4 linked regions of the Macaca fascicularis genome follow. The protein of the gene in region 2 binds, or shares a complex with, the protein of the main gene of each other region. Links are inferred from orthologs where the notes say so. Each region holds a gene or a part of one and is shown on either strand. Other genes may lie near its edges.

Evidence for each region. Proteins that work in one complex are often made in the same cells at the same time.
Region 1: POLR1E (region 2) and POLR1H share a complex: the UniProt entries of both Homo sapiens proteins name them as parts of the RNA polymerase I (Pol I) complex. The link is inferred for Macaca fascicularis from reciprocal best matches to the Homo sapiens genes POLR1E and POLR1H.
Region 3: the proteins of POLR1E (region 2) and POLR1B are in contact, whole or in part, in a cryo-EM structure (PDB 8A43), measured with the Homo sapiens proteins. The link is inferred for Macaca fascicularis from reciprocal best matches to the Homo sapiens genes POLR1E and POLR1B. Residues at the interface, in NP_071935.1 of Homo sapiens: Gln27, Ser29, Asn30, Gly31, Tyr69, Thr76, Leu79, Lys80, Cys81, Leu84, Cys85, Met109, Gln110, Pro111, Leu112, Phe113; in NP_061887.2 of Homo sapiens: Lys254, Ser258, Phe259, Ser260, Tyr262, Gln263, Gln266, Ser295, Thr296, Gln297, Ser338, Thr340, Glu341, Ala532, Cys535, Pro541, Ile542, Asp543, Gly544.
Region 4: POLR1E (region 2) and POLR1F share a complex: the UniProt entries of both Homo sapiens proteins name them as parts of the RNA polymerase I (Pol I) complex. The link is inferred for Macaca fascicularis from reciprocal best matches to the Homo sapiens genes POLR1E and POLR1F.

The regions. Positions count from the first base shown.
Region 1 is NC_088378.1:142,602,754-142,606,822, forward strand, and holds the start of POLR1H (DNA-directed RNA polymerase I subunit RPA12), read right to left. Parts: upstream 2,802-4,069; 5' UTR 2,775-2,801; exon of another isoform or gene 2,766-2,774; intron 2,650-2,765; 5' UTR 2,640-2,649; coding exon 2,495-2,639; intron 2,249-2,494; coding exon 2,148-2,248; intron 1,941-2,147; coding exon 1,831-1,940; intron 1-1,830. UniProt on the Homo sapiens protein: Core component of RNA polymerase I (Pol I), a DNA-dependent RNA polymerase which synthesizes ribosomal RNA precursors using the four ribonucleoside triphosphates as substrates. Can mediate Pol I proofreading of the nascent RNA transcript.
Region 2 is NC_088389.1:61,840,625-61,844,889, forward strand, and holds the start of POLR1E (DNA-directed RNA polymerase I subunit RPA49), read right to left. Parts: upstream 2,809-4,265; 5' UTR 2,707-2,808; coding exon 2,631-2,706; intron 2,132-2,630; exon of another isoform or gene 2,061-2,131; coding exon 1,957-2,060; intron 859-1,956; coding exon 782-858; intron 1-781. UniProt on the Homo sapiens protein: Component of RNA polymerase I (Pol I), a DNA-dependent RNA polymerase which synthesizes ribosomal RNA precursors using the four ribonucleoside triphosphates as substrates.
Region 3 is NC_088387.1:19,538,186-19,542,194, reverse strand, and holds the start of POLR1B (DNA-directed RNA polymerase I subunit RPA2), read right to left. Parts: upstream 2,802-4,009; 5' UTR 2,785-2,801; coding exon 2,608-2,784; intron 1-2,607. UniProt on the Homo sapiens protein: Catalytic core component of RNA polymerase I (Pol I), a DNA-dependent RNA polymerase which synthesizes ribosomal RNA precursors using the four ribonucleoside triphosphates as substrates.
Region 4 is NC_088377.1:110,487,378-110,491,511, reverse strand, and holds the start of POLR1F (DNA-directed RNA polymerase I subunit RPA43), read right to left. Parts: upstream 2,802-4,134; 5' UTR 2,781-2,801; coding exon 2,527-2,780; exon of another isoform or gene 44-2,526; coding exon of another isoform or gene 1-43. UniProt on the Homo sapiens protein: Component of RNA polymerase I (Pol I), a DNA-dependent RNA polymerase which synthesizes ribosomal RNA precursors using the four ribonucleoside triphosphates as substrates.

The DNA of each region.
Region 1 (4,069 bases), on a different chromosome or scaffold from region 2:
GGATTTGCAGCTCAAATTCATACTATCTGTGTGCTCCAAAAAACATGAAGCCAAGAATTTATTTAAAGTAATTCCAGCTTGATAGTGCTTCAAGGCACCTAGAAAAGAAACACAAATGCTGAGAATACAGCACTTACCCAAGGCCTCAAAGAATTCCTACAGTTCAAGTTCTAAAAAACTCAAATTTATTGTCAAAAATTACAAAACAAAGAAAAAAGCACTATGAGAGAGACAGCAGAAACAGACAGCAGCATCAGACACACAAAATCCATGGATATCAGAATTATGAGACATAGAATATAATAACTATATTTAATATTTTATATATTTAAAGACTAGTAAAAGGAACAATTTAAAATATGATTAAGGAACTGAGAATTATTTAAAAATTGAGATTTGAAAAGTAATTAAATAGAACTCAAAATAATAACAATAGTAAAAAATAATAATATTTGAAATAAACTGAAGACAGAACTAGTGACATGGAAGAGGAACCTGAAGAAATTACTCAGAAGGTGGCATAAAGAGAAAAGCGATTGAAAATATGAAAAGAGGGCGAGAGAAATGGAGGACAGAAGAGAGAAATCTCATTCTAGTAACTAATTAGAGGTCCAGAATGTGAGGACTGAGAACATGGGGGAAAGAGAATATTAAAAGAGATGATGGCTGATAATTTTCCAAGGTTGATGAAAAAAAAATCCACTCTAGGCTGGGCGTAGTGGCTCACGCCTGTAATCCCAGCACTTGGGGAGGCCGAGGCGGGTGGATCACGAGGTCAGGAGATCGAGATCATCCTGGCTAACACAGTGAAATCTCGTCTCTACTAAAAAACACAAAAAATTAGCCGGGCGTGGTGGGGGGCACCTGTAGTCCCAGCTATTCAGGAGGCTGAGGCAGGAGAATGGCGTGAACCCGGGAGGCGGAGCTTGCAGTGAGCCGAGAACACACCACTGGACTCCAGCCTGGGAGACAGAGCGAGACTCCGTCTCAAAAAAACAAAACAAAACAAAAAACAACAATGCACTCTCAGTTTCAGAAAGTCCAACAAATCCCAAACAGAATAAAAGAAAATCACATTTTGATATACTATAGTGACTGCAGAACACCAAAGACAAAGATGAGGTCTTAAAAGCATTCAGAAAGCCCATGTTCTCTAAATCATGTGTGACTAATTCTCTCCAAAGTAAAGCTACCTTGACTGCGGTTGAAGACTGCAGTATAAGACGCTGACCACTAAACAATACTTGCTTCTTATGGTTTTTTTTCTTCATTTCCTTTTAAATATCCTAAAAGAAGGTCAGGCAGGGTGGCTCATGCCTGTAATCCCCAGCACTTTGGGATGCTGAGGTGGGTTGATTGAGCTCAGGAGTTCAAGACCAGCCTGGGAAACAGAGAGAAACCCTATCTCTACTAAAAATACAAAAAACAAAACAAAACAAAAAGCCAGGTGTGGTGGCACGTGCCTGTGGTCCCAAAGCTATTTTGGAGGCTGAGGTGGGAGGATTACCTGAGCCCAGGAGGCGGAGGTTGCAGTGAGCCAAGATTGCCTCACTGCACTCCAGGCTAGGTGACAGAGCAACACCCTGTCCATTTAAAAAAAAAAAAAAAAAACAAAACAAAAACCTAAAAGGTTTATTTCACTGGTTACAAAAAGGGTTAAAAAAGTGTAATTTAAAAAAATAAAAACTACAAATCTCCCTCTTACCAGAACTGCACAGAAATAAGGGATGGGACGAAAGGACACAGCCGTTTAGTACAAAAAAATAAATCACTGGATTTGTTTATTAGTTAGCAAACAGACTGAGCAAAGGGAGGGGAAAGGATACCCACTTGCAGTTGGTACAGGTGTAGAAGACAGTTTGCCCTTCATCGGCTGAACGCATCTGTCTGGTGTGGTATGCCATTCCTTCATGACCACATCGAGGGCAGCGCCTGTCAACCTGGGAAGAAACTGGTGGGTTATGGAGGCCTGGTCATATCATACCCTTACTTCCCACAGGAACCAGGCGATCACGCCTCTCAAACATCGATGCTTTACATCTTTTCCCACTTGGAATTGGGCACAAAACTCTCCAGATCTCTGCAATCACTCCTCCATTTCTTTCCTACCCACCTTATGGAGCCAGTTCTTGATCTCATTAACTTACCACAGGTCCCTGGCACTCAGGCCCTTCCTCCACCGACATAGGCATGGCTGTCCCCAGTTGGTGGAACACAACTGAAGTCTTCACAACCTTCCCCTCAAAGTCTGCACAGGCAAGTAAGACTGGTTATGGAGACAACCTGAGGGAGCTGACACCGGAAACTTCCCCTCTCCCCTGGCTGGTTAGGCCAGGAGGCCCTATATCCTTTCCCTCAGTTTTCATCGCTGGACCAAATGTACAACTGCCTGATGTCCTGCTCTAGGATCCCCTTCTGAACCCAACCTATCTTGAGTTCCCCAAGCTTCCGATCCTGGGCCCTCCGCCAGGACCCCTGTGTACAAGCCTCTCACCCCGAACGTTGATGTTGAAGCCACAGCGAGTACAGGTGACCGTATCCTGAGCCCCGGGCAGAGGCAGGACCGAGCCGCAATCTGAACAGAAATCCAAGTCCGACTGAAAGCTGGAGCAAGTACCGGCGAGGTCCATGACAGACATGCAGTCGGGTCTGAGGAGGGAGTTAGAAGTTTATTAACAAAAGAGAGAAGAGTTCCTGCCCCAGAGTTGGTAACTATTCCGTCCCAGGACGTAGGAGTATATAACCCGAGTCCTCCTCCCACGCACGCCTCCTGCCTCTGCGACCAAGGAGCCGAAACGCCCGGAACTCCCAGACAGCGTCGGGTACTAAAAGGACTTGGAACCCTTTCCTGGGGCCGGCGAGAGGAGCTGGCCAACTCCGTGGGCTAGAGCGCCAGCTCTGCGCCCGCGGCGGGGCAGCGAGCTAGAGCCGGCTAGAGCGTCACGCTTTCACGCTGACGATTGGCTGTGACGTCATAATTAATTGCGAACCGTGTCTCGGAAGCCTTAGAGATGGAGAGTCACCTCTTCTAAGGGAGGTTGGGGCTCAACTTTCAGGCTGGTACTGAGACGTTGAGCACAAAATTGGTAACCAATGCTGCGCTTCCAGCAAATTTTCCCACCAGCACCGAATCCTGGGATATTTATTCTCTGTTTCACATCCTACGGGAACCCAATCGCGGGGGAATATCCTCCTGAAAACCGTACTTTGCTGAATAATGACTTCTTTGGATTAGAGAACTACAACTCCCCTGGGTCCTGAGCTGGTATTTCCCTTTTGCGGCTGCACAGTAGTTAAAAACAAAGCTAAGTGTTCTGGCATGTATAGTTCTAGCGTTCCTTGGGTCCCGCTGGCGAGCGTGGGCTTTCTGCAGAGCGCAGCCGGCCTGTGCTTTGCGGACGGTTCACCGCGCTTGGAAAGGGGTGAGTCGGCTTCTTGAGGGACAGCAAGTGGTGAGGGTGAAGGCCAGAGGAATCCTTAGTCCCACGGGACGAAAGGAAGCAGGGATGAAGTGGGACACTTGAGAAGGGGCTCAGGACTTTGGAGGTGGTAGAACAGAAGAGCTTGGGGCTTCCCCTCCTTCGACTCCTGCCAGATAAGTGAGGCTAGCAGTAGTCAAGAAGCTCATTAAGTAGGATTTCATAAGACTTAGGTCGAGTTTGGCTTTTAGTTGTGCCTGCCGCTTATCGAACTCTTAATTCATTATTCGTCATCCATTAAGTGGACAGCTGACATTTCCCTGATCTTTTATAAAACATGGGAATAAGTTTCTTTCGGAAATCTTGCTATTTTCGTTACTCTGTAACTTATATTCGAAGTAGAAACTTTCCCTGAAGGGGCAGCTTGTCGTTGTTTACTAGTTTCATGCTAGTCCTCCCACCACCACCCACTCTGATAGCTGTGCTAAGTTCCTTCATATGAAAGTTCTGGAGCCATCACTATTTTGTCCTGTGAAGGACACAAGCTGTAGTCTTTTCGCTGGGAGAGGCTCCCATCTGCCTTTCTCTGTGATAATGGAGAGAACACCATAGTTAAAGGGTTAAAACTCAGCAAACTGCTGAAGAGTGAC
Region 2 (4,265 bases):
GCTCGCTGCTGTACTGTAATGGAAAACTCTTTTGGGGTGTAGGAATCTAGAATTACACTAGAATTTATGGCACAACAGTTTTATGGAGGCAAAATCAAGTAAACGGGAAGGAGACCAGTTGGAACTAGGGCATCGTTGAGAGGGGAGAGTGCAGGGTTAGTAGTTCTCAGCACCTATACAGCAATCTGACCTCTATTGGAGTATGGTCCAGTAAGGCTCAGAAAGGGCCTGGTTTGTAGTTCATTGTTGGGTACCATCACAGGGCCCTGTCTGCATCATGCCAGCCCCCGAGAGTGATATAGTTGAGGTTGGACAATCTTCATTGTACAGACTAGGGGTCAGTGATGGGCAGAGTTACCCAGCCACTCAGTCAAACAGCAGCACAGAGGGATGGGAATCCCAGGCTTCTCTTTCCCAGCCCAGAGCCTTCAACACTACCAAGTTCTTTACCTGTCGTTAGTTCCCAGGTAAACTTCACGCAAGCTTTGACCTACTAGTCACACATTCCAAATTAATGGAGAGAACTGCCTTTTGGAATAAGACAGCTATAAACAAACAAGGTTACAAATGAGGTTTTCAGGAAATTCAAGTTATCTTTCCTTTCCAGCAATGTCTACAGGTGAGGGGAAGGGCTCTATGTCTAATAGGAACACAGGAATCACCTAGTAAACCGCTCTAGATGGCTCCTACTGCCCTTAAGACAGACAGGAAACAGCAGTGCCAGTGCTGCCACCACTCCCAACCCCATCACCCTTCCCGCTGTCCCTTCCCCTGCCATTACCTGCACAAAGTGTTGCATTTGAGGGCTCCAGTACCAAAATTGTTTCCCACATAGGAAAGTCTATCTGTTTCAGCTGCCTAAAATGCAGAGAGGAGAAACTCCATTTACAACCAATGTTGAAAGGTATTAAGCATCATCTCTCTTTTCTACATTTGCTGAGGCTTTTGAATCCAGACTCACAATGGATTAGAACTAGTTCATCTCTGGCAGATGATCCAGCTCCACTCTCTCTAAGGGAATATGGGGTGTCCCTGCGGGGGAAGCAAGACAACTTTTGGAAGAGAAGCCTCAGATGGTGCTAGCTTCTAATGGTATGAAAAGCTCTTGGGGGAATTCTATCACAAGACTTGAGAGAGAGGCCCTGGGCTTCTAGCACTTACAGGCATGCAACAAAGTGATTCTGTAAGCAATCTCTCTTTGGCCCAAAGTCCAAGCCCTTTTTCACCTTCTTTGCCCATCTCTCCCATGGCTGTTCTTTGTATACTCTCAGGACCATGGCTGATTGACTCCCCAATCATAAGCAAGCTTTCCTGCTTCTCTGCATTTGTCCTCGCTATCCTTTTCACTTAGAACACCAAACCTTGACTGCCAAACCCTCGTTCCAGCCTTCAAGGCTCAGCTCCAACATGACCTCCCCAAGGAAGGCATTCTGGCAGAGACCTCTCCTCCCACTGAGCTCACTCTGCCCTGTAATCTTCCGCACGTGGCCTCAGAGCTTTGTGTAAAAGTGTCCCTCACAGCCAGTTCTCATCTCTCTAGAGCAGAGGTTCTCAATCCAGGGAAATCCACTCTGGTGCTACTGGCATCCAGTGAGTAGAGACTAGGGATGCTGCCCCCACAGCAAAGAATTATTGGCCCCAAAAGTCAATAGTCCTGAGGTTAAGAAACCCTGTTCTAGAGTATGAACTCCGAGTGGGGCTAGGCCTGATTTGGCTGTTTTCCTAGAAGCTTGCAGCACAGGGATACAGAGGAGGTTCCATAAATGCTTGTTGAAAGAATAAATGAATGAAAGATGGAGCCTGTCCCCACATCCCAAGTTGCTGGGCATCAGAGTTCTTCAAAGGTCCATTTGCTACTACTCTCCTGTTTCTCCCCTCACTCCCTCCCACACCACCCACTCCCAGGCGCCTTCTGAGCCCTGCAGAGTGGAGGCAGCTGGCAACTGCTTCACTTACCAGGATCCGTTGATTCCTCTTCCTGGGGTTGGTGGAATCTTTGTTCTCATACAAGGTAAAGCGCATGTTGCCCGGACTCTGTAGCTTCCCGTTGGAGAACTGGACTGTAAGAGTGCAGCCCAAGAATCAGGTGAGAGCAGAAGGCCACACAATGTACGGTGGGACTAGACTGTCACTGGGAGGGAGTGAGTGTCAGAATGGGGATGGCAAGGAAGCTCGGGTCCTGACCCAAAGGGAACTAGAGGAGATCCGGGGCCAGCTGAGAAGAGGGGTTAGGGAGGTGGGAGAACCCTGGGGAGGGGCTGTAACAAGGGGGAATGTCTCGCGGAAGGAGGCTGACAGCAGACGCCTGGTCCACACCTAAAGTGACAGAAGGAACCCCTGCCCAGTGAAGAGAGGGAAACGGGGGAGGTGGGAGACCTGGTGGGTGAGGGGACAGCAGGGTCCTGGACACAGCCCTGGGGAGCGGGTGAGTGGGATGTCCCAATCCGGCTGGGCGGTAGTGACAGAAAGACGGACAGGGCAGCCCCGACCGAGCCCAGGAGAGTGGTGGAGACTACAGGCGTCCTGGCCCCGCTGGGGAGAAGCCTAACGGAGTGCGAGGGGACAGCTGAGATACCGAGACGGAAGGGGGGAGGGTTAGAGGAGCACTGCTCCAGCTCTGCAGTCTTTACCCAGTACAGCTCTCTGGCTCCCGTCGGGCGCCCCACAATACTGCCACCTCGCACTCGGCAACACCTCCGCCGCCATCTCGCCTGTTTGTCCGCCAAGTACAACAGTTAAGACAGCAGTAGCCACAAACCCGCTTTTAAACACGCGGGAGCCTACGCCGCGCGGCAGGCCGGAAAAGGCGTGGCCCCAGCCGGGCACCGCCCACAGTGCGCGAGCCGCGTGTCCCCGCCCCCCGCGCGGAGAGGCGCGGTCTCCGCCCACAAGGTGCCACATACTCGCGCGACTGGCCGAGGCGCAGCACGTGATTAGCTCAGCGCTCGCCTGCGCTCTGGGTGTTGTAGGTCCAGAGCCTGAGGCATCCTACGGCTTCAGCCTAAGCTTGCTGTGAGCCTTCTTCCGGCTCAGCACAGTCTAGAGAGAGTGTCGTCTCTCTCCTACCGTGACAAACACGTCTTCCCAAGACCTGAAAGACCAAGTTCAAATTTAGAATTCTCTAACAGGAACTCCTTGAGCCCCAACTAAATGTGGCCGCTGGCAAAAAGCCGCCCCTCTCTAGGACCTCCCACCCACCCACGTGGACATCCAGTTCTAGGTACAAGCTTTGTCCACAGTCCGACAAACAGCGCCCCGCAATGCGCTGTGGCGTGCACACATGTGGCCCGATCAACCCTGAGGTGATGGAACAGAAGCCCAACCAACCCCAGGGCCTTTGGCCAGGAGATTCTGGACTGAAATAGAAGAGGGAGTCCGAGCTGATAGACATGTCCCTTTTTCACTGCGGATTCAACCATTCTTCTGCACGGGGAGTTTTCAGAGCACAAAAAAGGCAAAAGCAGGACCTTTAAGCATGGACCCTGGCCGAGGCCCCCTTTGCCCAAAGATGCGTGCTATTGAAGGGCAAGAACTCAGGCTGACTCCCCTCTGTCTTCCAAATCACCTTCTTTCAGGACTCTTTTCCTTCCACACATCCTCACACCCTCCTCCAACACCCAGAATCCTAGGAATAATCTTAAAGCCTGCAACTTGTCACTCTTTTCTAATTACCCAGTCTCAAACTTAAAGAAACACTGCAAGAACTTTTTTTGCCCTGAACCATTTAGAGTAAGCTGTCAACCTGATACCCTTTCACCCCGAAGACTATAGTATTTCCTACAGACAAGGACGTTCCCTAAATAACAACACAGCCATCAGCAAATTGCCAGGCGCAGAGGCAGAGGCAGTTCTATCCCTTGATTCTAGGAATTTGAGACCAGGCTGGGCAACATAACAAGACCCTGTCTCTACAAAAAAATAATCATTAGTCACGTGTGGTGGCACACGCCTGTCGTCCCAGCTACTCAGGAGGCTGAGGTGGGAGGATTGCTTGAGCCTAGGAGGCAAAGGCTGCAGTGAGCTGTGATGGTGCCATTGCACTGTAGCCTGGGCGACCAAAAAAAAAAAAAAAAAAAAATTAAACAGAAAACAATCAGGAAATTAACACTGGTACATTACTACCATGTAATCCTCACATCCCATTTAAGTTTACCATTGTCCCAGCGTTTGTTGTTTGTTTGTTTTTTGAGATAGGGTCTCAGTCTGTCACCCAGGCTGGAGTGCAGTGTTGCAAACAGGGCTCACTGCAGCCTTGACCTTCCGGG
Region 3 (4,009 bases), on a different chromosome or scaffold from region 2:
CCTAACTCATGCCTGAACAAAGCCTATGTTAAATGCATGTGTTAACATTTTCCCCAAAAGGTACAGCACAGCCTTCTTGTGCTTAGGAACTTTATACAGAACTTTAATACTTTGCTTGGGGGACATTTTAAACAGCAAAATCACCAACAAAAAGCACAAAACATGGCACTAAATAGATAGTGAAGACCACCTCTGTTTATAGTTTAAGAACTGAAAACAAGAAGGCCGAGCATCACCTTGTTAGATCTCAGCTGGGAAAACGGACACTGATCAACTCAACTTTTTCGCTGCTTCTGGGCATGGTGCTTTTGGAGTAGGAGTAAATTTTAGTGAGTAGGTGAATTTGCAAATATAGAATCCCCAAGTAATAAAAATCAATTGCATTTTGAAAAGATTTTGAAAAGACAGACACATAAATTCTGACTCACAGAAAGGAGAAATTCACTTCAAAGAAACTAGGCAAAATTATGTTTTGTAAGTAAAAAAAATGACAACTATTTTTTCCCTTGGCTTTATAAATATGAGCCATTTATGTTACTGTGTTTTACAAAACATTTTCAGATACTATATTATTACAGTACTGGCTAAGTTGTGGCATCATTTTCTATGCAGGGCCAAATTTTCTTCATCTACTTCAACCAAAACAATATATCACAAGGGACTGAATGCAGAAGCAGACATGAGAATCCAGTTGTCTTTTCATTGAGCCAGACATTAAAAATATTTTTAATAATGCAATTCATCTAATTTCTTTTTTGCTTTGGAAAATATTTTTCATAAAAATGTTAACATAGAATTGGTTTTTTTTTTAATTTATTTATTTTTGATACAGAGTCTCACTCTGTCGCCCAGGCTGGAGTGCAGTGGTGAAATCTTGGCTCACTGCAACCTCCGCCTCCCGGGTTCAAGCAATTCTCGTGCCTCAGCCCCCCGAGTAGCTGGGAGTACAGACATGTGCCAGCACGCCCGGCTAATTTTTGTATTTTTTAGTAGAGATGGGGTTTCACCAGGTTGGCCAGGCTGGTCCGGATCTCCTGACCTCAAGTGATCCATCCGCCTTCACCTCCCAAAGTGCTGGGATTACAGGCAAGAGCCACCACACCCAGCCGATTGGCTTATTTTTAAATGAATTAGTGCTTTTCTAAAATTTCTCAATTTGATTTTTTTTTTTTTTTTTTTTTTAAAAGACAGGTCTCACTCTGTTACCAAGGCTGGAGTGCAGTGGCACAATCATAGCTCAGTCAAGCCTCAAATTCCTGGGCTCAAGTCATCCTCCCACCTCAGCCTCCCAAGTAGCTGGGACCACAGGTGCAGACCACCATGTCCCGCTAATTTTTTTAATATTTGTAGAGGTGGGGTTTCACTATGTTACCCAAGCTGGTCTTGAAATCCTGGGCTCAAGTCATCCTTCTGCCTTGGCCTCTCAAAGTCCTGGGATTACAGGTGTGAGCCACTGCACCCGGCCCAATTAACTTTTAATTAGGTATTTTTTCTCACAGACATGATACTGTAAGAATCCAGGCACAATACAAATAACCCCCACCAAGTCTTTCTAAACAATAAATCTTAATGGCTCCCATATTATTTGCCGAACAGAGTTCAAGAATCAGACTGGCAATCAAAGCTCTCCACATTATCTCTATTCCTATCTCTCACAACACAAATTTTACCCAACAAAACCACAGGTAGCGTCCCCTAAGCATGTGACTCTGCTCTACCCTTCCCCTGGATGAAATGTACGTTTCTCACCTCTTGAACTCATCTAATCCTGCCCTTTCTCAAACTCCTGGATTAGTTGCGCCGCCCATCTGCTCCCACCGTAGCCCACACAATCCCTTGGCAGAGCAGTTCTCAAGAATATTGGCATGGACTGCTTTCATATCTTCACCCCTCCAACCCCCAAACACGACAGGGAGCACTGAAACGCATGAACTGTCTCTTACACGGGACTGCCTCCTCCACATCCTCTGAGCCTAGTGCCTGGAGACACTGGAGATGCTTACTAAACGAAACTTTCCCCCACCATCCTCACCTGAATTCTGCTACCACTACTCTACGCTAATAATGCAATTACACTTTTCGATTCAATCTTGCTTTTATGACTCATTTATACCTTCCTCAGCACCTGCTTAATTCATAACAAATGACGAGTAGTTTCTCTCTTTAAAGCTCTAAGAGAAGGATACTGAAGGATAACCTTGTACATTACACTGTACCTACAAATAAGTTCGGAATCTTTTGAGGTACGTTTTGGAGAGGTAAGTCTTCTAGTGATATAAAGCCGTGTGCATTGTGAGTGGTTGGGAAGCACACCCCAGATAAGCCACTTCCTCACTCTCACAGCACCCAGAAACTGTCCAACAAGAAACTACGGTTCGCAATCACTTTTCAATCCAGAAATCACGAATACATCTCTTAAGACGCTTTGACTACAAGTTCCACGAGGCCCAATTCCGCGTCCTGTTTAACATGTTGTGCTCTCCCGCTTACCCACTGAGCCTGTCAGGATCAAGGAGCACATGCATTTAGGGTCATATTGTGACCTCCCAGCCATCTCCCTGCGATTGGCCTCGCCGCGGCAAGGGCGCCAGCGGACGCCGCGCTCACCTGCACCGCGAGGCCGAGACCCTCGTGCACGGCGTAGTTGAAGGACTCCACATGCGCCCGCGTCAGCTCCTGCAACGCTGCCTTTTGCTGTTCCCGCGGGATTCCATAAGAGGGGTCGGTCAGGTGCTTTAGGGTAGGCCCGCTGGGCAGGTTCCGCCACCGGCTGCCGGGATCCATGCGGCCACCTGCACACCGAATGCCAGTGGCTCTGTACACGCCGGAAGTAGTGGCCGGAGTCCCGCTTCCGCAGCCTGCTGGGAAATGTAGTTCCCTCTCGTTCCGCCCGCCCTAGGCCCTACGGTTTCGGTTTCATGGAGTCGACGTAGAACCAAAAACTTCGAGTGAACGGGCCGATTAAGGCCGTGACCAGCTAGAGCGTGGCGGTCCCTCCCTTTCTCCCATCTTCCGCCCCACCCATCTCCCTCCTCTGCGACAGATGCCGCAGGTGGAAACCCGCTCCTCTCCCAGTGGAGCGTGTGATCTCTTTGGCTCTCATTGGCTCAGTCAATTAGGATTGGAGGAGAGCGGTCTTCTCAGGTTCTCTTCTATTTCCCTTAACCCGTTCCCAGTCCCACGCCGACGCCGACACTGGGGAGTCATCCGGCCAAAGTCGTTGCTTCAACGAAAAAGCGGATGCCGGGCCCCTGGCTGACTCTACCCAACTCCTAACTCGCGAGGCTCATCCCTGGGAAGCCAAGGAGTGGTCGGGCCCCGCTAACCTCCTCGCATCTTCTGGACTGGAGTCCTTGGGGAGGCCTGGGGAGGGAGGTGGGATCGGGCGGTCTCGGATGGAGGGGAGAGGGCAGCTGGGCGTCCCACTGGATTTACAGCGTGAAGATCCTTTGCGTCCCTGTGAGCCCCTTACCTCCCCAGTACACTGATTAATCAGGGAATGCCTGCTGGCCTTTCAACTTCATTGTGTGTTTAACAGCTATATTGCGTTATAACTGGCATACAATAAACCAAACATTTAAAGTGTACGTGTTAAGTTTTGACCTATGTATACAACCATGCAGCCATCACCACAAAACAGTTAAACCACCACTACCCAGTATCCTCCTGTCCCTGAGAGTCCCTCCTTACTGTCAACTTCCCCTTTTCCTAGTTCACCTGGTACTTTTCCTTCCTATATCACTTTTTATAAAAAATTTGAGCCGGGAGTCTGTGTTGCACAGGCTGGTCTTGAACTTCCGACCTCAAGCTATCTTCTCGCCTTGCCTCTCTCAATGCTGGGATTACAGGCATGAGCCACCGCGCACGCCCGGCCAGCTGAGTAGTTGTAGTTCTTTATATAGCCTATACTAGTCCTTGTCAGATACATGATTTGCAAATATTTTCTCCCATTCTGTGGGTTTTTACTTTCTTGCTGGTGTCCTCTGAAGCAAACTGTTTTAGTTTTGAA
Region 4 (4,134 bases), on a different chromosome or scaffold from region 2:
CGGGAAAGCAATCTTCTGAGGTTTTCATTTCTGCATGTGGCATTCCTAAGCTGGAATCATCCTATCACTAAGACAATGTTAGGGACACAGAAAACAGAATCAGAGAATAGGAAGAAAAATTAACTGCCATACTAGACAGAAAAACAAATATTAAGACTTTATTTCTCCTAATCAAAGCCGTGTCTGGAAGGAGGTCTGTGGTCCCCTGGTGGGAGGGGGGACATTTGGAAATTTGTGATACTAATCATGGTTATCACAAACTTTGCACAAGCCAGGGCAGAAAAGAGTCTGTCATGTACAGGACAGTCGGTACAATGAGGAAATATCCTTAGCTCTGACTTTTGAATAAAAGGACAAATCTGTTTACAAATAGCTAGGAACCTAATTTAACTCTTAACATCAACACACAGCCATCTTTGCATATTTTTAATCTATATTAAATTGTTCAGGAATTTAGCAATATATAAATTCAAGGGGGATTTTGTTAAGAGTCATCAGATATGTGAACACAGGCACCCAACACTATATACTTTTTCCTTCTTCACTTTTGTTTTTCAGATACCATCCTAAATAGGTATCAGGGCAAGATGGTAGCCTCACTTTAGTTCTTTAATACTGTATGTTCAATGTTTTGTCCCTCATTAGTAATGCATAGTTCAAAGTGTGGTGCCTGATTTTCACCTGGTGCATAATTTCACCAGGGGTCTTCAGCATATCCAAGTAATATGAAAGGAGTGGTGGCCAGATCTGTTCAGAGTCACTCCGCGTGATTTCGTTATTTCCCGCCCTAGCCTGTCAAATGCAGGCAATACAAAACGGTTACAGAAAACAGGATGGTTGCTTGTGTTTCCAGATGTTATGACTACTTTGTATATCCTTTAATCTCTCAAATCCATCCTCTCTAATCATTTTCTCTTGAACAATTATAACATGATCTTAATTCCTCTCCTTGTCCACTTTCTCATCCTATTTGGTAGCTAACCATTAAGTAAGGCTAACAAGTACTGTTTCTTAAACTGCAAATCTGATATGCCAGGAACTGCAGATAAGTACTGCTTTCTCAAAAGTGTACCAAGTCTCAGAGTTAAAGGGTACTGAGAGGATGAAGCACTAACCCTGCCTATGAAAACAGAAACACAAAAGGAAAAACAACAACAACCCCACCTTACCCCCAAAAGAACAAAAACTGGCAATGACAGGAAGGGAAAAGCAAAATGGCCATCCTCTCTGAGTCACCCCTGCCCTCGTCTCCAATGGCATCCAATGCCTTTCCCCTGACATAAACCTTATTCTACTTATATAATAGATACGGTTCTCTGGGCAAAGCATACCGGTTCACATCCAGTATCCGTTTGTTTATGCCACTCTTTGCCTGGAATGCTACCATGGGAAAGTACCGTCTTCACTCAAGTTGTTCTCAGAGGTCCCAAGATCCCAATTCAACACTCCTTATCTTGTTAGATTTCTGTCAAATTTTAACACCTTACTATTTATTGGCTTGTATTTGTATCTCTACTACAGCTTAAAGCTCCTTGAAAGAGGGATTTCATTTTTTGTTTGTTTTTGTATCTCAAGTGTTCGGTATATAATATAAACATACGAGAAGTGTATATTGGTGCTTGGAAGAAGCTGTATATTCTGGAGATGCTTGATTATTAACCTGTGTGTGGAGGTCAAGGATCCCTTAAGAAAGTGATAAAAGCTTCCGATACAGTGCCCAAGGAACTTCACATAAGAATTCCTGAAGGACAGTCATGAATCCCTAAAGAATCCATTCACTCTAGTATTAGAACCTCGCTTTTGAACCAAAGTATAGTCCAGAGGAATACTGAGGCACATGCCCGCGCCCCCCGCCACACACCTCTGTAATTCTGTTTTCAAGGCACTTTTGAATACCGTAATATAAATGCATACCTTTTGTTTTTTTCTCTCCCAAAAGCAACAGGCTCATTAGTTCGATTGAATAAATCGTCTTAAAAACAACTCAGGTCCAAAAGAAGAGAAAATGGGGAAATGACCAGATTGAAATACAGTAAGAAAAAAACGTGCTTCACGTTTTACAGGTAGAACGGTTGTACTAATGCTTCATGTGCAATCTTCGATGGAATGAGAATCTACTTAAGCACTGCAAACCAAATTTTTATCGTCAAATGAGAAAACATCATCCGGAACGGGATAAATGAAACGTTGAATGCCAAACAGAACTGGGCCTACTAGGTCTCCAGACCCTTGGTCTGTTCCTACCCCTACACCAGGATTCTGGAGCGAGAATCTCCACTCCCTCCGCCGACACCTGAACTTCATCTTTAAGTTTTCTTCTCTATCTATGAAAGGGACCCTATAAAGATCTTCACCACAGTGGTACTGGCCTTGAGGGGCGGATCGCGACTCTAGAATTCCACGGGGCTAAGCTCTGGGGGGGCAATGCGACCTTTACTATTTGCCCCCTTTCTGCTGCGTTGTCAGCATATCTACCTGCTGCTACTTCCCGTGCACAAAAGAAGGAACAGGCAAAGAGATCGGTACCTCTCAGAATAGCGAAGGAGCTCCGCATCAAGCTGTTCTCGAATGCCAGTGCGTTTCCTGTTCAGGTAGCGGGGAGACAGCGCGATGTGCCTTTGGTGCGGCCCAGCCACCAGGCATGAGTAGCGACTGTTCACCAGCGCACAAGCAGCGGCATAAGTCGGCAACTCTAGGCAAGGCAGGACGCCAGCCTGCCCTACCAGAGACCCATCAGAAGCCGCCGTTGGCCGCGGCACCTCTGAACAACCCGCAGCCATGCCGCTTGTCAAGGTTCCCACGGCGCGCGCCGTTGACGCAAGCACAATCGCCTGTCCCCGACGCTCTTTTTACGTCATCCACCAACTACCACGCCCCTAGGAATTTCTCCTCCTTACGCTGTATTACGCCGCTCTGGCCAGCAGGGGGAACCGTATTTTCGCGCTTCGAGGACGCGAGCTTAGAGCCTGGGATATGCATTGAGCATGCAGGAAAGTCAACTGTCTGCTCTTTTAAGGGCAGGCAAATATGTGTTTTCGTACAGAAGCTTATTGGATTAAGTAGGCAGCTTAAAAAGGGGGGTTTTCACTTTGATCATTTCCAGTAGTAAGGTGGTTTGGTAGAATTTTACAAGCTTGGACTGTACAATAAAAAATCAAAATATTTATGGAGTGTATTTTATGCAGGACACGAAATCCTAAGAAGCAGGCCTGATAACTCTAATGCAACATATCTTAAAACGAACCTACTAGTTCTCTCCTGTCCCACTTCTCTCCTCATTATGCACATGCTAAATCAGGGAATTATACCACAGCCAACCTGTCAGCCTCGGATCCTCTTTTGTTTTCCCAAATATTAAATCAGCCTGAAGGCCTGTATTTCCCAAAGTGGAAATATCATTCTGTTTGGACACTATTCTCTTTCCCTACCGACAAAACCGCAGGACTCCCTGCCTGTGGAAGCCTAGCTCAATGGTCAGGAGGACGCCCTGGGGCAGCCAGATCTTCCCGGAAACACATATGATTGTGTTGTGCCCTGTTTAAGCCCTACATAGGCACCCCACTTTCTCTAGGACAACACAAACTCCTGAAAAATGCTTATACAAGGCCATTTTGTGATCTGTGTGGGCACGCAGCCTCTCTCTTCAGCTTCATTTGTCACACTCCCCACCCCAATATTATGCCCCTTGATCCACTTTCAGGTCACTCTTTCTGCAGTCTTACGCTGTTCCTTCTACCGGGAAATATAATATTTTCACAAGGGTAAATTCTCCTCACGTATCAATTTTTAGCTTAGATTTTACATTCTGTCCCTTTGCAAAGAGTTCAACCACCCCACACCTCTTTCTCTATAAGGATTAGGTAGTTACCCATGCATGTTTTTTTAATGTTAATTTTATATTAACTGCCATTTGCTTGCCTGTTCCGTCAATAGATTCCTACACTCACTAAAGTGGGGACCATAATATCTGTATTATTCACTACAGTAGCCCCCCACATCTCATCCCTCCTCCAAAGAAAACCAAGAAAAACGCAAACAATGCACTCTGAATGAATAACCTGATAGCGAGTTAATAAATAATAAGTGATAAAGAGCTTGCAGCCTAAGTGGAAGTGGGATGTAAATGTAAACATG